Saccharomyces cerevisiae S288C: one gene and its partners. The gene in region 3 interacts genetically with the main gene of each other region. Each region holds a gene or a part of one and is shown on either strand. Other genes may lie near its edges.

Evidence for each region.
Region 1: mutations in YBL086C (region 3) and MVD1 together harm fitness more than expected from each alone (negative genetic interaction), as found in Saccharomyces cerevisiae (one large-scale study listed by BioGRID).
Region 2: mutations in YBL086C (region 3) and MAK16 together harm fitness less than expected from each alone (positive genetic interaction), as found in Saccharomyces cerevisiae (one large-scale study listed by BioGRID).
Region 4: mutations in YBL086C (region 3) and PDP3 together harm fitness more than expected from each alone (negative genetic interaction), as found in Saccharomyces cerevisiae (one large-scale study listed by BioGRID).

Annotation. Positions count from the first base shown.
Region 1 is NC_001146.8:700,135-704,113, reverse strand, and holds MVD1 (diphosphomevalonate decarboxylase MVD1), read right to left. Parts: upstream 2,220-3,979; coding exon 1,029-2,219; downstream 1-1,028. Other genes in the region: AGA1 (Aga1p), read right to left, coding at 1-415; COQ2 (4-hydroxybenzoate octaprenyltransferase), read left to right, coding at 2,455-3,573; MRX15 (Mrx15p), read right to left, coding at 3,654-3,979. UniProt on the Saccharomyces cerevisiae protein: Diphosphomevalonate decarboxylase; part of the second module of ergosterol biosynthesis pathway that includes the middle steps of the pathway. MVD1/ERG19 converts diphosphomevalonate into isopentenyl diphosphate.
Region 2 is NC_001133.9:99,725-103,463, reverse strand, and holds MAK16 (ribosome biosynthesis protein MAK16), read left to right. Parts: upstream 1-2,318; coding exon 2,319-3,239; downstream 3,240-3,739. Other genes in the region: mitotic regulator LTE1, read left to right, coding at 1-1,899.
Region 3 is NC_001134.8:60,174-64,197, forward strand, and holds YBL086C (uncharacterized protein), read right to left. Parts: upstream 2,430-4,024; coding exon 1,029-2,429; downstream 1-1,028. Other genes in the region: 60S ribosomal protein uL14 RPL23A, read right to left, coding at 1-20, 525-566; BOI1 (Boi1p), read left to right, coding at 3,703-4,024.
Region 4 is NC_001144.5:1,051,660-1,055,257, forward strand, and holds PDP3 (Pdp3p), read left to right. Parts: upstream 1-1,969; coding exon 1,970-2,884; downstream 2,885-3,598. Other genes in the region: FMP27 (Fmp27p), read left to right, coding at 1-225; YLR456W (pyridoxal 5'-phosphate synthase), read left to right, coding at 3,411-3,598. UniProt on the Saccharomyces cerevisiae protein: Histone-binding component of the NuA3b histone acetyltransferase complex. Targets the NuA3b HAT complex via histone H3K36me3 to the coding regions of actively transcribed genes to coordinate transcription elongation.

The DNA of each region.
Region 1 (3,979 bases), on a different chromosome or scaffold from region 3:
TTGTGTGACAAGTAGGGCAAATATATGAAGTGAACTTGGAAGTCACAGATAAGGTGGTGGTTGGCAACGTCGATGACGAAGGACATGCCTCATGGGAGCAGACTTCTGTAGATAATGTCAAAGTACTAAATCTGGATAGGGTAGTAGCGTACGATATTGAAGGACTTATTTCGGCAGCAGATGAAGTGGATACCGTCAATGGACACCAAGTCGTATACAATGTCGTAGTGCCAGCTTGAACGATAGTGGATGTGGAGACTAGCGCGGGTGAAACTGTAGTTGTAACAACCCCATTTGCATCGTTTGTCTTGGTTATCGTCACTAGAATCGTTTCTGGATCAGATGCCAAGGCAATATTAGTTAATCCCAACAATATTGTGAACAGGTAGGTAAAATGAGCGAAAGATAATGTCATCTGAAATTTTTTGGTTTTTTTAGCTTTTATTGTTAATGCTCGCCGTTTTTCAAAGATGAACGTAAATACTGGAAAAGTTCACGATAATTATTGATGATAGATCATTATTCTGCGCTTATATACGTTTTAATTGCTTGCTGGGAACTGCTTATTTGCGATAGTCGCTTGTTTTAAGTCATTACTATGTTTTAATATTGTTTCAGAAAATTATGTTACAGCCGCGTTTTGACTTGAAACGTGCAATATCCAAAAAGAGACTTTACAATTGAAAGCTAACCTAAAATTTGAGAAGATATGTGACAGGTACCCTAAATGTAGATTGGGTGGCTGCTGAGATCTTTAAGTATGAAACGGGTGGACGTACTTGTGCTAAGTGGTGCTGTTAGACAGCTACGAATAAGGAAATTCCGAAGCATGTAGGGAGGTCATGATATGAAAAAGCAAAAGAGTAGGCATCAAAAAGTTTCTCATTCAAGTGGTAACTGCTGTTAAAATTAAGATATTTATAAATTGAAGCTTGGTCGTTCCGACCAATACCGTAGGGAAACGTAAATTAGCTATTGTAAAAAAAGGAAAAGAAAAGAAAAGAAAAATGTTACATATCGAATTGATCTTATTCCTTTGGTAGACCAGTCTTTGCGTCAATCAAAGATTCGTTTGTTTCTTGTGGGCCTGAACCGACTTGAGTTAAAATCACTCTGGCAACATCCTTTTGCAACTCAAGATCCAATTCACGTGCAGTAAAGTTAGATGATTCAAATTGATGGTTGAAAGCCTCAAGCTGCTCAGTAGTAAATTTCTTGTCCCATCCAGGAACAGAGCCAAACAATTTATAGATAAATGCAAAGAGTTTCGACTCATTTTCAGCTAAGTAGTACAACACAGCATTTGGACCTGCATCAAACGTGTATGCAACGATTGTTTCTCCGTAAAACTGATTAATGGTGTGGCACCAACTGATGATACGCTTGGAAGTGTCATTCATGTAGAATATTGGAGGGAAAGAGTCCAAACATGTGGCATGGAAAGAGTTGGAATCCATCATTGTTTCCTTTGCAAAGGTGGCGAAATCTTTTTCAACAATGGCTTTACGCATGACTTCAAATCTCTTTGGTACGACATGTTCAATTCTTTCTTTAAATAGTTCGGAGGTTGCCACGGTCAATTGCATACCCTGAGTGGAACTCACATCCTTTTTAATATCGCTGACAACTAGGACACAAGCTTTCATCTGAGGCCAGTCAGAGCTGTCTGCGATTTGTACTGCCATGGAATCATGACCATCTTCAGCTTTTCCCATTTCCCAGGCCACGTATCCGCCAAACAACGATCTACAAGCTGAACCAGACCCCTTTCTTGCTATTCTAGATATTTCTGAAGTTGACTGTGGTAATTGGTATAACTTAGCAATTGCAGAGACCAATGCAGCAAAGCCAGCAGCGGAGGAAGCTAAACCAGCTGCTGTAGGAAAGTTATTTTCGGAGACAATGTGGAGTTTCCATTGAGATAATGTGGGCAATGAGGCGTCCTTCGATTCCATTTCCTTTCTTAATTGGCGTAGGTCGCGCAGACAATTTTGAGTTCTTTCATTGTCGATGCTGTGTGGTTCTCCATTTAACCACAAAGTGTCGCGTTCAAACTCAGGTGCAGTAGCCGCAGAGGTCAACGTTCTGAGGTCATCTTGCGATAAAGTCACTGATATGGACGAATTGGTGGGCAGATTCAACTTCGTGTCCCTTTTCCCCCAATACTTAAGGGTTGCGATGTTGACGGGTGCGGTAACGGATGCTGTGTAAACGGTCATTGTGCTGGTGCTCACTGTCTGGGAATTTTCAATCTTGCATCACCATTACCAGCACGATGGATGCTCTTTATATATCAATCTTCGAGAAAAGGCTAAACGAGCCATTTCGGCGATTTCGGCATCGTGGAAAAGTTTCACAAGAATCAGGCCAAAATTAAAAGTAAGGTTATCAGAAGGGCGGAGTATACTATAGATTACAGTAGAAATAACTGTCGTAGAATAACAGTGTCAACTAATGTTTATTTGGCAGAGAAAGAGTATTTTACTAGGGAGGTCCATTCTGGGCAGCGGCCGAGTTACCGTTGCTGGAATCATTGGAAGCAGCAGAAAGAGATATACGTCTTCTTCCTCCTCCTCCTCCTCCCCTTCCTCGAAAGAATCAGCACCTGTGTTTACGTCGAAAGAGTTGGAAGTTGCAAGAAAGGAAAGATTGGATGGACTGGGACCGTTCGTGTCTCGGCTGCCTAAGAAATGGATACCGTATGCGGAGCTGATGAGGCTAGAGAAACCCGTGGGCACGTGGCTGTTATATTTGCCCTGCAGTTGGTCTATACTTATGGGAGCCATGATGCAAGGTGCTACATTGAGCGCAACAGCTGGTATGTTGGGTATTTTCGGTGTAGGTGCATTGGTAATGAGAGGTGCTGGCTGCACCATCAACGATTTTTTGGATAGAAAGTTGGATCAAAGAGTTATCAGGTCCGTCGAGAGGCCTATCGCCTCTGGTAGAGTGAGCCCCCGTCGGGCGTTAGTATTCTTGGGGGCTCAAACTCTTGTTGGAATGGGCGTTCTATCTTTGCTTCCTGCGCAGTGTTGGTGGCTAGGCCTTGCATCGTTACCTATTGTGTTCACATACCCTTTGTTTAAGCGGTTTACGTACTATCCTCAAGCTGCATTAAGTGCATGTTTCAATTGGGGAGCGTTACTTGGGTTTCCTGCCATGGGTGTAATGAGCTGGCCTACAATGATACCTTTGTACCTGAGCAGTTACTTGTGGTGTATGACTTACGATACTATATACGCACACCAGGATAAAAAGTTTGACATCAAGGCTGGAATCAAGTCTACCGCTTTGGCTTGGGGTCCACGCACAAAGTCTATCATGAAGGCCATGTCCGCGTCTCAAATCGCACTGTTAGCTGTCGCCGGCTTGAACAGTGGGTTGTTATGGGGGCCTGGGTTCATTGGTGGACTAGGAGTCTTCGCTTATAGACTCTTCAGCATGATAAAGAAAGTGGATCTTGACAATCCTAAAAACTGCTGGAAGTATTTTAATGCAAATATCAACACCGGACTTTACTTTACGTACGCCTTGGCAGTCGACTACATCTTGAGACTGTTTGGATTCTTGTAGATATAGCGTGCATATACAAGTGTTTAATTGTTCTTTTATTCGATTATTATTTACATGCATTCTTACGTAGATGTCCGTACCTATTTGGGCTTCACGATATTCTTGATGGATGATCTAGAATTCCCCGAGTGAAATAGGGTCTTGGCAGACGTATGTGAAAGGATCTGAGTTAATATTGACCTGTTCAATAGCTTATTTTCTGCCACACTGTTGAAAAAGCAGTCCAAGATCCTGGCGTCATTCTTCACAACGCTACCAGATCTCGAGAAAATGTAAAATTTATTGAAAAATGAGGGTGCTTTTTCATCCACTGTGAAGAAAACAAAGGTGGCCTTATCCTCCATACCTTGAGAACCTACTCCTGTGAAGATCTTGGTGGCCTTATTTTTAGACAGTTCATTGATCT
Region 2 (3,739 bases), on a different chromosome or scaffold from region 3:
GAGCAAAACAAGTCAAACTCAGTTATAGAGGAAATAAGTGAAATAGAACCTCTCAACCTGGAATATAATAAAAAAAGCGCGTTGTACTCTGATACATCGTCCACCGTTATCAGTATCTCAACGAGCAAGCTTTTTGAATCTGCTCAGAATAGTCCTCTAAAACAAACTCAAAATCCACAGAGAGAATTTCCCAACGGGACCAGCGTGAGTGAAACCAATAGAATCAGATTATCCATAGCACCCACAATAGAATCTGTTGTAAGTGATTTGAATTCGATTACCACTGGTAGCACAGTTGAAACTTTCGAAACGTCCAGAGATTTACCAGTGCCACACCAAAGGATAATAAATTTGAGAGAAGAATATCAAAGGGGTAATCAAGATATAATCTCAAATACTTCTTCATTGCATGAGTTAAAAACAATTGATTTAAGCGATTCCAATAATGACCTAGAAAGTCCAAGTACCCATGCGAAAAACAACAAGTATTTTTTTTCACCAGATGACGGTAGCATTGACGTTGCTTCTCCAATGAAAAACGTTGAAGAGCTGAAAAGTAAATTTCTGAAGAACGAGAGTGAAACTAATAGTAACATATCAGGAAGTGTATTGACAATGGACGATATCGACATTAATGACACATCTAGTGCCCGGAACACACGGAGAGCAAACTCTGAGTCGGCTTTTACAGGCTCCTTGAATAAGAAAAATTTAAATGAAATTGCTAATATGCTCGATGATTCAATTAATGACGATCCAATAACCGTGGCATTAATGAAACTGGAAGGTACATACGAGAAAATTCCCGAAAAACCAGAGAACACCAAGAGTAGTGACGCTATTGGAATTAAAACGAGCAAGTTAGCAGATGAAGTGGAAATGCTAAACCTTAACAACTTGCCGTCATTCCAAAATAGCCCCGCAGAAAAAAGAAAATCGTTATTAATAGAAAGAAGGAGACAAACTATAATGAATATCCCCTTTACTCCAGATCAATCCGAGAAGGAAGGCTTTACTTCCTCCTCTCCTGAAAAAATAGACGTGTCAGCTAATGTTGATGTTGCTGTGCAAGCGGCGCAAATCCAGGAATTAATCGGTCAATACAGGATTCACGATTCGAGATTAATGATTTCTAATAATGAAAGTCACGTTCCATTTATACTAATGTACGATTCCCTGTCTGTAGCGCAACAAATGACCTTGATAGAGAAGGAAATTTTAGGAGAAATAGACTGGAAAGATTTATTAGATTTAAAGATGAAGCATGAAGGCCCACAAGTTATAAGTTGGTTGCAACTACTAGTAAGGAACGAGACCTTATCTGGCATTGATTTAGCTATATCCAGATTTAACTTAACTGTGGATTGGATTATATCAGAAATACTTCTTACCAAGAGCAGCAAAATGAAAAGAAATGTCATTCAAAGGTTTATACACGTTGCAGACCACTGCAGGACATTTCAGAACTTTAACACATTGATGGAAATCATTCTAGCCTTAAGTTCTTCAGTTGTTCAAAAATTCACTGATGCATGGCGTCTGATTGAACCAGGCGACTTACTGACTTGGGAAGAGCTAAAGAAGATTCCCTCGCTAGACAGGAATTATTCTACAATAAGAAATCTACTTAACTCTGTGAATCCACTGGTGGGTTGCGTCCCTTTCATCGTCGTATATCTTTCGGACCTATCAGCAAACGCAGAGAAGAAAGACTGGATCTTAGAAGATAAAGTAGTGAATTACAATAAATTCGATACGAACGTTCAAATAGTCAAGAATTTCATTCAAAGGGTTCAATGGTCCAAGTTTTACACTTTCAAAGTTAACCACGAATTGCTGAGTAAGTGTGTTTATATTAGCACATTAACACAAGAAGAGATTAATGAACTATCCACATGAGGTATTGTGCCACTTTCCTCCAGTTCCCAAATTCCTCTTGTAAAAAACTTTGCATATAAAATATACAGATGGAGCATATATAGATGGAGCATACATACATGTTTTTTTTTTTTTAAAAACATGGACTCGAACAGAATAAAAGAATTTATAATGATAGATAATGCATACTTCAATAAGAGAGAATACTTGTTTTTAAATGAGAATTGCTTTCATTAGCTCATTATGTTCAGATTATCAAAATGCAGTAGGGTAATAAACCTTTTTTTTTTTTTTTTTTTTTTTTGAAAAATTTTCCGATGAGCTTTTGAAAAAAAATGAAAAAGTGATTGGTATAGAGGCAGATATTGCATTGCTTAGTTCTTTCTTTTGACAGTGTTCTCTTCAGTACATAACTACAACGGTTAGAATACAACGAGGATATGTCCGACGAAATTGTTTGGCAAGTGATTAATCAAAGTTTCTGCTCTCATAGAATTAAGGCACCTAATGGTCAAAATTTTTGCAGAAATGAGTATAACGTCACTGGGTTGTGTACAAGGCAATCATGCCCACTTGCCAACTCCAAGTATGCAACAGTGAAGTGTGACAATGGGAAACTGTACTTGTATATGAAGACGCCTGAAAGAGCGCACACTCCTGCCAAGTTATGGGAAAGAATCAAACTATCCAAAAATTACACGAAGGCTTTACAACAGATCGACGAACACCTACTACATTGGAGCAAGTTTTTCCGTCATAAGTGTAAACAGAGATTTACAAAATTGACGCAGGTCATGATAACAGAGAGACGTTTAGCATTAAGGGAGGAGGAGAGACACTACGTTGGTGTAGCACCAAAGGTCAAAAGAAGAGAACAAAACAGGGAGAGAAAGGCATTGGTAGCTGCCAAGATTGAAAAAGCCATCGAAAAAGAATTGATGGACAGATTAAAGAGTGGTGCTTACGGTGATAAACCATTAAATGTTGACGAAAAGGTCTGGAAGAAGATAATGGGTCAAATGGAAGAGGAGAATTCTCAGGACGAGGAAGAAGACTGGGATGAAGAAGAGGAAAGTGATGATGGGGAAGTTGAATACGTTGCAGATGATGGCGAAGGTGAATACGTTGACGTGGATGACTTAGAAAAGTGGTTAGCTGACTCTGACAGAGAAGCTTCCAGCGCCAGTGAAAGCGAAAGCGACAGTGAAAGCGAGAGCGACAGCGATAGTGATGAAGAAAATAAGAATTCAGCCAAGAGACGTAAGAAGGGAACTAGTGCCAAAACTAAACGTCCTAAAGTCGAAATCGAATACGAGGAGGAACACGAAGTTCAAAATGCTGAGCAAGAAGTGGCACAATAAGCTCACGCACTATACTACGCAACATTACATGATTTCAGTTTCTATTATTGAATGAACAGGATTTTTCCACGTGGATTGGGCAGCGCACTGTACCATAATAACAACCAGTTATAAAATATTTCAATTCTTTTACATATATAAAAATACATAAAGACTATTATTTTTGTAAGATGGCCCATTCTGTAACACTTAAATTTCTTATCAAAAAAAAAAAAAATAATACCTTTAGTAGCTGTTGGGCTAATAACATTGCAAATTAGAAGCTTACTATTAGAAGCTTACTATTACGGGATTATTGAGGTAAAGGTTATTTGAAGCGTAAATCACTGAAATCTTCCTGATCACGTGATTGGCTTTTTTTGCCAGAAAACCCAAATCTGTTTAATGCCACTAAGTTGAAGAAACATATAATCAACAATTGTTGGCAATTCTAAGGGGAATAGTGCAACAAGAAGCCAGTAACGCCAAATAGAGGTTAGCGCCAAGCAATAATTTACTGG
Region 3 (4,024 bases):
GCACCGACTGGTAGACCTAACTAGTTAAAAAAGATCTCAATATCGGGGAGTGAGAATAATTTTGTTAGTAAAAGCATAGGGAGAAAGTTAGCAGATGTGGTTAATCTTGAAAAATAGAGTTAAGCGTGATTTTTGTAGAAATAACATTTCGATGGTTATCCATTAGTATGGGCAAAAGAGGGAGTTAGGATATGCTTGCCGTGTATGATTTTGAAACCAGAAATTTTTGAGTCCATGAATATTGACAGGTATCACTTCATCTGCAAATACAGCCCGCTTAACCATTTAAAAACTGAATTTATGTGTGTAATTGCATCTTTGGCGGGGCGGTACCAGTGATGGCACATCTACCATTCTTATGGAAAATAACACCGATAGGTATATGATCAGGCTTCACACTTAGTGTTTAGCGTCTTTTAAACCTCTGTTTAATTCTGTTGTACCCAGCAAAATGAAATCTTGGAACTTTACTTTATGATCAATTTAACCAAATTGCATTGTGGAAAATAAAAATTTTAACATACTGAGATTCTAAACTTAGTACCTTGAGCACCGTTACCGGACATTATTAGTTATATATAGGTGTGTTGGTTTTGTATTGCTTGTAAGACCTAAGAGTCAAAATAAAGAAAGTAAGAGATTTTTAGCTACTAACCTTAGCAATACGATGGTATTACTATTAGCGGGAACAGGTACATTATGGCTACAGTTCGTTTCCTGCCATATTAATTTTTCAGCCCGAGCGTGTTTGGGTTTGATATTTTCTTTTTTACCTCTTTTTCAACATTTCCATGCAAGTCTGATGACGGTTGTACGGCTCGTTCTGTGAGCCGGATAAGCGATAAAAAAACTTGGTCTGTTGAAAATAATAACTGCATGGGTTTTTCAAAGCAGTTGGGGGTGTACAGATGTTAATGTAGTCTGATATATGCTCTGTCTTGTCTTTTTATCTGGGGGATCATTAACATGGTAATAGTGATTGGTATTGCAAGCTTAAGATTATAATTACATAAAACAATACAAATATTCTAGCCCGATGGGGTTATTATAGACCAGTTTTTGTTTTCTCTTATTCTATCTGTTAAAAAGTCCGTGGGGTTATTGTCTTCGACAGAGTTATTATCCTTGTCGCTCCCTTTATCATTAGCCGTATTTTCGTTATCCTCGTCATTATGAGTCCTCAGTTTTGCACGTTGTGCTCGTGACATATGACTCCAATTCTGCTTTTTCTCCAAATACTCTCTTTTGCCCATTGTGCTGTAGCCGTCATCGCTTGGATTTGGAGGCCAACTACTTGCCTTGTTCCCAAGGTTATTGCCATAATTTGGATTGTAGTACTCTTCTTCCATTTCGTTCAATCTCAATGCCTGTAAATCGATTAAATTTATGCCCTTCTCGTTCTTAGCCCAACCGTTTCCGCCTTGTAAAATATCTTCCACGCATTCTCTTGGCGTAAATTCACCTGGTCGAGGATCCCACGGTAATTTAAACGTTTTCTGGTACAAGCTCTCAATCAGTGGGCTCATAGAGGAAGATATTGTTGTTGACAGCCCTGGCTTTGTTGTCATTTCGCTACTCTTGTGGTTGGTAGAAGTCGGTGATTTAATACTTGTGCTGTTTCCTGTCGCATTTGTACCGGGTTTCGCTACAGTTGTTCCAATACCGTTAAAATTGGAGAATGTATTCTTGGGTGACATCTGGTTTGTTGTTGATGTGGGGCTAGATAGTTCAGACGTGTTATCCAGTATAGTATTTATTCCTGGCCTGTAATTAGCGAGCTGGCCATTAGTAAACGATTTGGAAATGTTGAAATCTTCGTAAGAGCCTCTAACTAGCTTCAACTGCAATGAGACGTTGATTATAGAATTGACCTTTGAGTGCTTTAGGAGAAATCTGTTTGTTGTGGGAGTTTCGTCTTCTTTGACGTATTCTGTTATATCTATGTCTACTGTTCCCAATAGAAGTTTACCCGTTATCTTTTGAGAATATGAATTGTTTCCTGTGGCCGTTAGTGCAGTGGCGTTAGCATAGGTCGTTTTCTTCACTTTGCCATTGGGACTAGAACTAGAAGTCAACGAGGAATTCGCATCAGCAAACTCAAAAAAAACATCCAACACCAAAATTTTCTTCAAGAATCTGCCGTTTTTATCCAAGTGGAGCTTCACCAGGATTGGTTTGTCTAATGAATAATTCCATTGTGCTCTATGATGTTGCACATGCACGTGTTTTGTTGTACCTCTACTCTGGGTCGAAGTGGTTTGATGCTCACCGTCCAGAGCCACTTTGTGTCCCGACGTACCTGTTCCATCCTTCAAACGCCATTTCGTGTAGCAATAGCCAGAAGATTGAGGAATATTTACCAATTCTTTGATTTGCAGGTCCAGTAGAAACTTTGGTCTTTTTGCCTTGCTATTATGATTAAATGGCATCTTAATATTTTGTGAGCGGTATTATACCTTTCTTGGGTACCTAATACTTCTAAGCAACCTGAATGAAATTAGAAGGTGTTCACTCCTTCATTAGCAAGTGAGCTTTGCCGTTGTCACCGTACTTGGTCATCTTAAGAGATACAAAGGGGGGGGACCCTGAGAAAACTTCTCCCGAAAAAAAAAAAAGAAATATACCCACGCGTTCTTTACCCGGAAATAAATATCTTGATTTAGCCGCCGAGATTGTTATATATGCATCCAAGACCTCTGAATGGTGGCTAATTAAGACACTTAACTGATTACGTTTCCATCAACTGCTATCATGTTCGCAATATTTGGGCAAGAAATGAAAAAGAAAAGTTACCAACTCTTCTCCCTTCTACGAGCGGTGAATACATGGGAGCCGAGCCGCATGAAGATGAAAGTAATATTAAAATTAAAGTCTCTATCGAAGCAGTGACTCTCTCCCTATCAGCCGGTAAATTTTTTTAACGAAGTGGAGCTAAATTATCAGAAAACGTAGAGCTGGTATGCTGGTAGATCTAAACGAAGTCCAGTTTACATCAAGATGATATCGTGCAATATTTACTACGGCATGACTTAACAGTACAGTCATGATTTAGGAATTTGAGTGTTCTCCGGGGTTTTGCAGATAAAAATTTGTTTTCTTCTCTGCCATTCCTGGAGATTTTGAAAAGAGTTGGTAATGTGTTTCAAAAGAAAAAAATACATTCCAAGAATAAATACCAGGATTTCGTGACAAAAATTAAAAAAAAGGGAAGTATGGCATGCCTAGAAATCTTTTCTGGAAAACTTGAAGCATATCATATAATTGTATGAACTTGTCCTTCAAAAGATGTTACCAAATATTCAAGAGTATGTGAGCTTTCTATTCTATTGACGCGTAAGAAAGGCTATCACGTGTGGGGGGGAGAGCTCAGCCACATTGCACTACTTTCGAAACCGCGTAGTCGGAAACGACATTCCCCCGTACCAAAACAAACGAAAGGACGTGAAAGGTAAATGAATAACATGGCACTAAAAATTTGGCAGAAAACGAAAAAAAAAAGGAAAAAGAAACTGAAAACTATACGCTTCCCTTAGGATACTTTCTGATTTACATCCGAAGAATTGGGTGCGTCAATTAAAGGCAATTCTTCGCTCTATCAAGCAGTTTTACTGCGTCTGTCTAAAGAAACAATTGTTTTACTGAATTTCAACAAAGTTCTAACTCGAGGTGACCGGAGGCCACTGTAATAATAAAAAATAGAAGATGAGTCTCGAAGGAAATACCCTAGGCAAAGGGGCCAAATCTTTTCCTCTGTATATTGCGGTAAATCAGTACTCTAAACGAATGGAGGACGAGCTCAATATGAAACCAGGTGATAAAATTAAAGTCATTACTGATGATGGGGAGTACAATGACGGCTGGTATTATGGGCGCAATTTGAGAACCAAAGAGGAAGGTTTATACCCAGCGGTATTTACCAAAAGAATAGCAATAGAAAAACCAGAGAACCTGCACAAATCACCAACCCAAGAGAGTGGAAATTCTGGTGTTAAATATGGAAATTTAAATGATTCTGCGAGTAACA
Region 4 (3,598 bases), on a different chromosome or scaffold from region 3:
TTCAATTTCCCGACTTTAAGATTGTCCAACCAAACTTTGAGGGTCACAGATCTATTACTTGCCCTTAAAAAAGTGTTAATCAAGGTTTTAATAAAACATACTGGGAGATTTATTGGTAATAAATTGAAAAGAAATTCTAAGGAGAATAAAATTGCTGACGACACTTCACCACTGAAGCAACTCACAACTTATAATTCCTACACGGAGCCTGAAGAACTTCGTTAAAAACATTCAAAAAAAATTTATAGTTTTTCATATCTCTTAATGTAGCATCATACATATCAATATGTTACCATGTTTCAGACCTTTATTGCTGTACTACATTGAAATACCTAGGATTCGAAGAACAAAAAACATCATATAGGTCTTCCATTAGTAATGCCCATTATTTACTTAAAGTAAAAAAAATAATGGTCTCTAGCGGGATCGAACCGCTGATCCCCGCGTTATTAGCACGGTGCCTTAACCAACTGGGCCAAGAGACCATGAAAAGGACGTCAAAACAAGGTCACACGAAAACCATAACCTGTAGTATAAATATAAGACATCTCAAGCACTTGTTATTAATTAGGGAAATAGCTAACAGCATTTGAACGATAACTAAGGCAAACAATCCTCAGTAGTAATCGTTGGAAAAAAGATCTGAGAACTAGGTGAATTTTGTGATAATTGTTAAAATTCCATAGTTGATAAAGGCAATAACATTATGTATGCAGGATATGCTGAAGTTCTTCTCGAGGACATATGAATCCTCAAAGTGGAATCGGTAGTCCTGCACTATAATATTACAATTATTTTTCCTTTCGTTTTATATGCTTACTTATCCTATTACATTATCAATCTTTGCATTTCAGCTTCCATTAAGTCAGATGACTGTTTCTCAATCTTTATGTCGTCTTTTTATACCGCATATGATAATACACTTGTAACATGAACACTGGTCAATAGATGATGATAGGGTTTCGTTCCAACACCATCACGTTATCAATTCTTTCGTGTCAACTCCTCATTTACGTTATACTCTTTACATTGTGTATGGCAGTATACTAGTAGTGAGAATACTAGTCAATAGGTTATAATTGATTTTTATTTTAACAAGTAACATCTTCGGAAAAGCGACTACTATTCAACTAATAATCATCAATTTTTACTTCAAGAAAGCATAATAACGTCTGCATTTATGTGTGAGCAGGACTGAGCGATTCTGAGGGCACTTGTATTCACCAATTTGCAATAGCTGATCTTTACAATCTGCATGTTCCGATAACAAAAATAACTTGTAGGATAAATCCTCAGAGTTACATCGGTGTGTCAGGGAATGAACAGATAAAAGAAATAACGTCGCACTGTAAAGTGAGTAGCAGCAAAATTAAACTATTCGGACATTTTAAAACCCTATCAGTCGCCTTGGATGATAACCTTATTTCAACCACCTATCAATGAAAATGGCTTAAACTTCCCCAATTAAAAAACTCTGCAATAGCGTGTTGATTTCTTCCAGATTGATAGTTTGGTACAATACGGAAGAAACAAGGTCTCTCTCCATTTACATTACGGTAAGCTGTTCTTAATTGAACTTTGAAACATCCAATGGCGGGTAATAATTATAGTATTTTTCTTTTCTATTTTATTTATTTTTTTTTTTTTTTTTGATTTTCTAGAATAATCAATCAATGGTAAATAAACAAAAGTTGCTTCTGTTGTAAAAAATACATCAAAGGGGCTAAAATATCAATATACGTTTCGTTAAGTTCTGCAGAGAGATTTGGACATATCTATTTTTCTCTCAGATATTTGTTATTGCATATTGTGAGTTGACTACTGGTAAGCTTATATTGGAAGTTTCACAAGCATTCTTTTAGGACCTACAGTCGTTGCTCCTCCTGGCTTTTTTTCCCTTTTATTTTTTTCTGTTTTTACTTCCATTTCTTTTGTGATATTAGCTATCCCTGGTTTGGTCCGCAAGTTTATGACAAAAGATATTAGAACAGGCGATTTAGTGTTATGCAAAGTTGGCTCGTTTCCACCTTGGCCAGCTGTAGTATTTCCACAGCGTTTGCTGCGAAACGATGTATATAGAAAGAGAAAATCCAATTGTGTTGCTGTTTGTTTTTTCAACGATCCAACTTATTATTGGGAACAACCCAGTAGATTAAAGGAGCTAGATCAAGACAGCATTCACAATTTCATATTAGAACATAGTAAAAATGCAAACCAAAGGGAATTGGTCAATGCTTATAAGGAAGCAAAAAATTTTGATGATTTCAACGTATTTTTACAAGAAAAGTTTGAAGAAGAAAACAGGTTAAGTGATCTAAAAGCGTTTGAGAAAAGTGAAGGTTCTAAAATCGTTGCCGGAGAAGATCCCTTTGTAGGTCGAACAAAAGTAGTGAATAAAAGAAAAAAAAATTCAATATCCATCAAAGAAGATCCGGAAGATAACCAGAAATCAAATGAAGAAGAAAGCAAACCGAACATCAAACCGTCCAAAAAAAAGAGACCCACAGCTAATTCGGGAGGAAAATCAAACAGTGGCAATAAAAAGAAAGTTAAATTAGACTATTCCAGAAGAGTAGAAATTTCACAGTTATTTCGCCGCAGGATTCAAAGAAATCTAATCCAGAGAGAAACACCTCCTACTGAGCATGAGATCAAGGAAACTCATGAACTATTAAATAGAATATATGAGAATTCTGACACCAAACGGCCCTTTTTTGATTTGAAGGCCCTACGCGAAAGCAAATTACACAAGCTACTGAAAGCAATTGTTAATGATCCTGACTTAGGCGAATTTCACCCACTTTGTAAAGAAATTTTACTGTCCTGGGCAGACCTAATCACAGAACTGAAGAAAGAAAAGTTGCAAGCGCTACCTACGCCTTGATAATAATACTTATTGAATCAATTCAATATATCAACGTTTCAATATCCAATATTGTTTCATTTCATTTCATTTCAAATAAACAGTGTTTTACCGTTTGTTTTGTTTCCCTTCTTTTTTTCATCAAATGGTAATATTAAATTGATTTAATTATCCATCCATAAAAATTGTATTAATAAGTCATACACGTAATGTCACAACAAAATATCAGGCGTACTCTTGTGACGTACCAAAGCGCTTAGAAACGATAAAGGCCCGGGACAGAAATTTAAACGTCACAAGTGGGTGCAGCCCAGTTAACACTAATGTTAACGCACTTCTAGATACCTCATATATATAAATATTATCTAGAATTTCAAATTTGATATTCCTTTTCTATACTGAATAAACGATAAATACGAAGTTCAGAGTGCGAAAATTAGGGTTGCAGGCGTCTGATCTGAAAAACGTATAATTGATAGTGAAAATTATGCAACATTCTGCAAAGGAAAGTAAACCTTAAAAAAACAAATCTCTCAAGCCTTTAAAGATGAAACTCAATGAACAAATACCAAAAGACCTGTTACGCCTGATTAAAAGTTCCAAGTATGTTCATGTGGCGACATGCTCGTCAAATTGTATACCATCTGTTTCGTTGATGCATTACATATTTGTTTCATCCGCGGAAACTTTCCATAAACATGAGTATAGTATAGAAATAGATTGTAATGACTATAT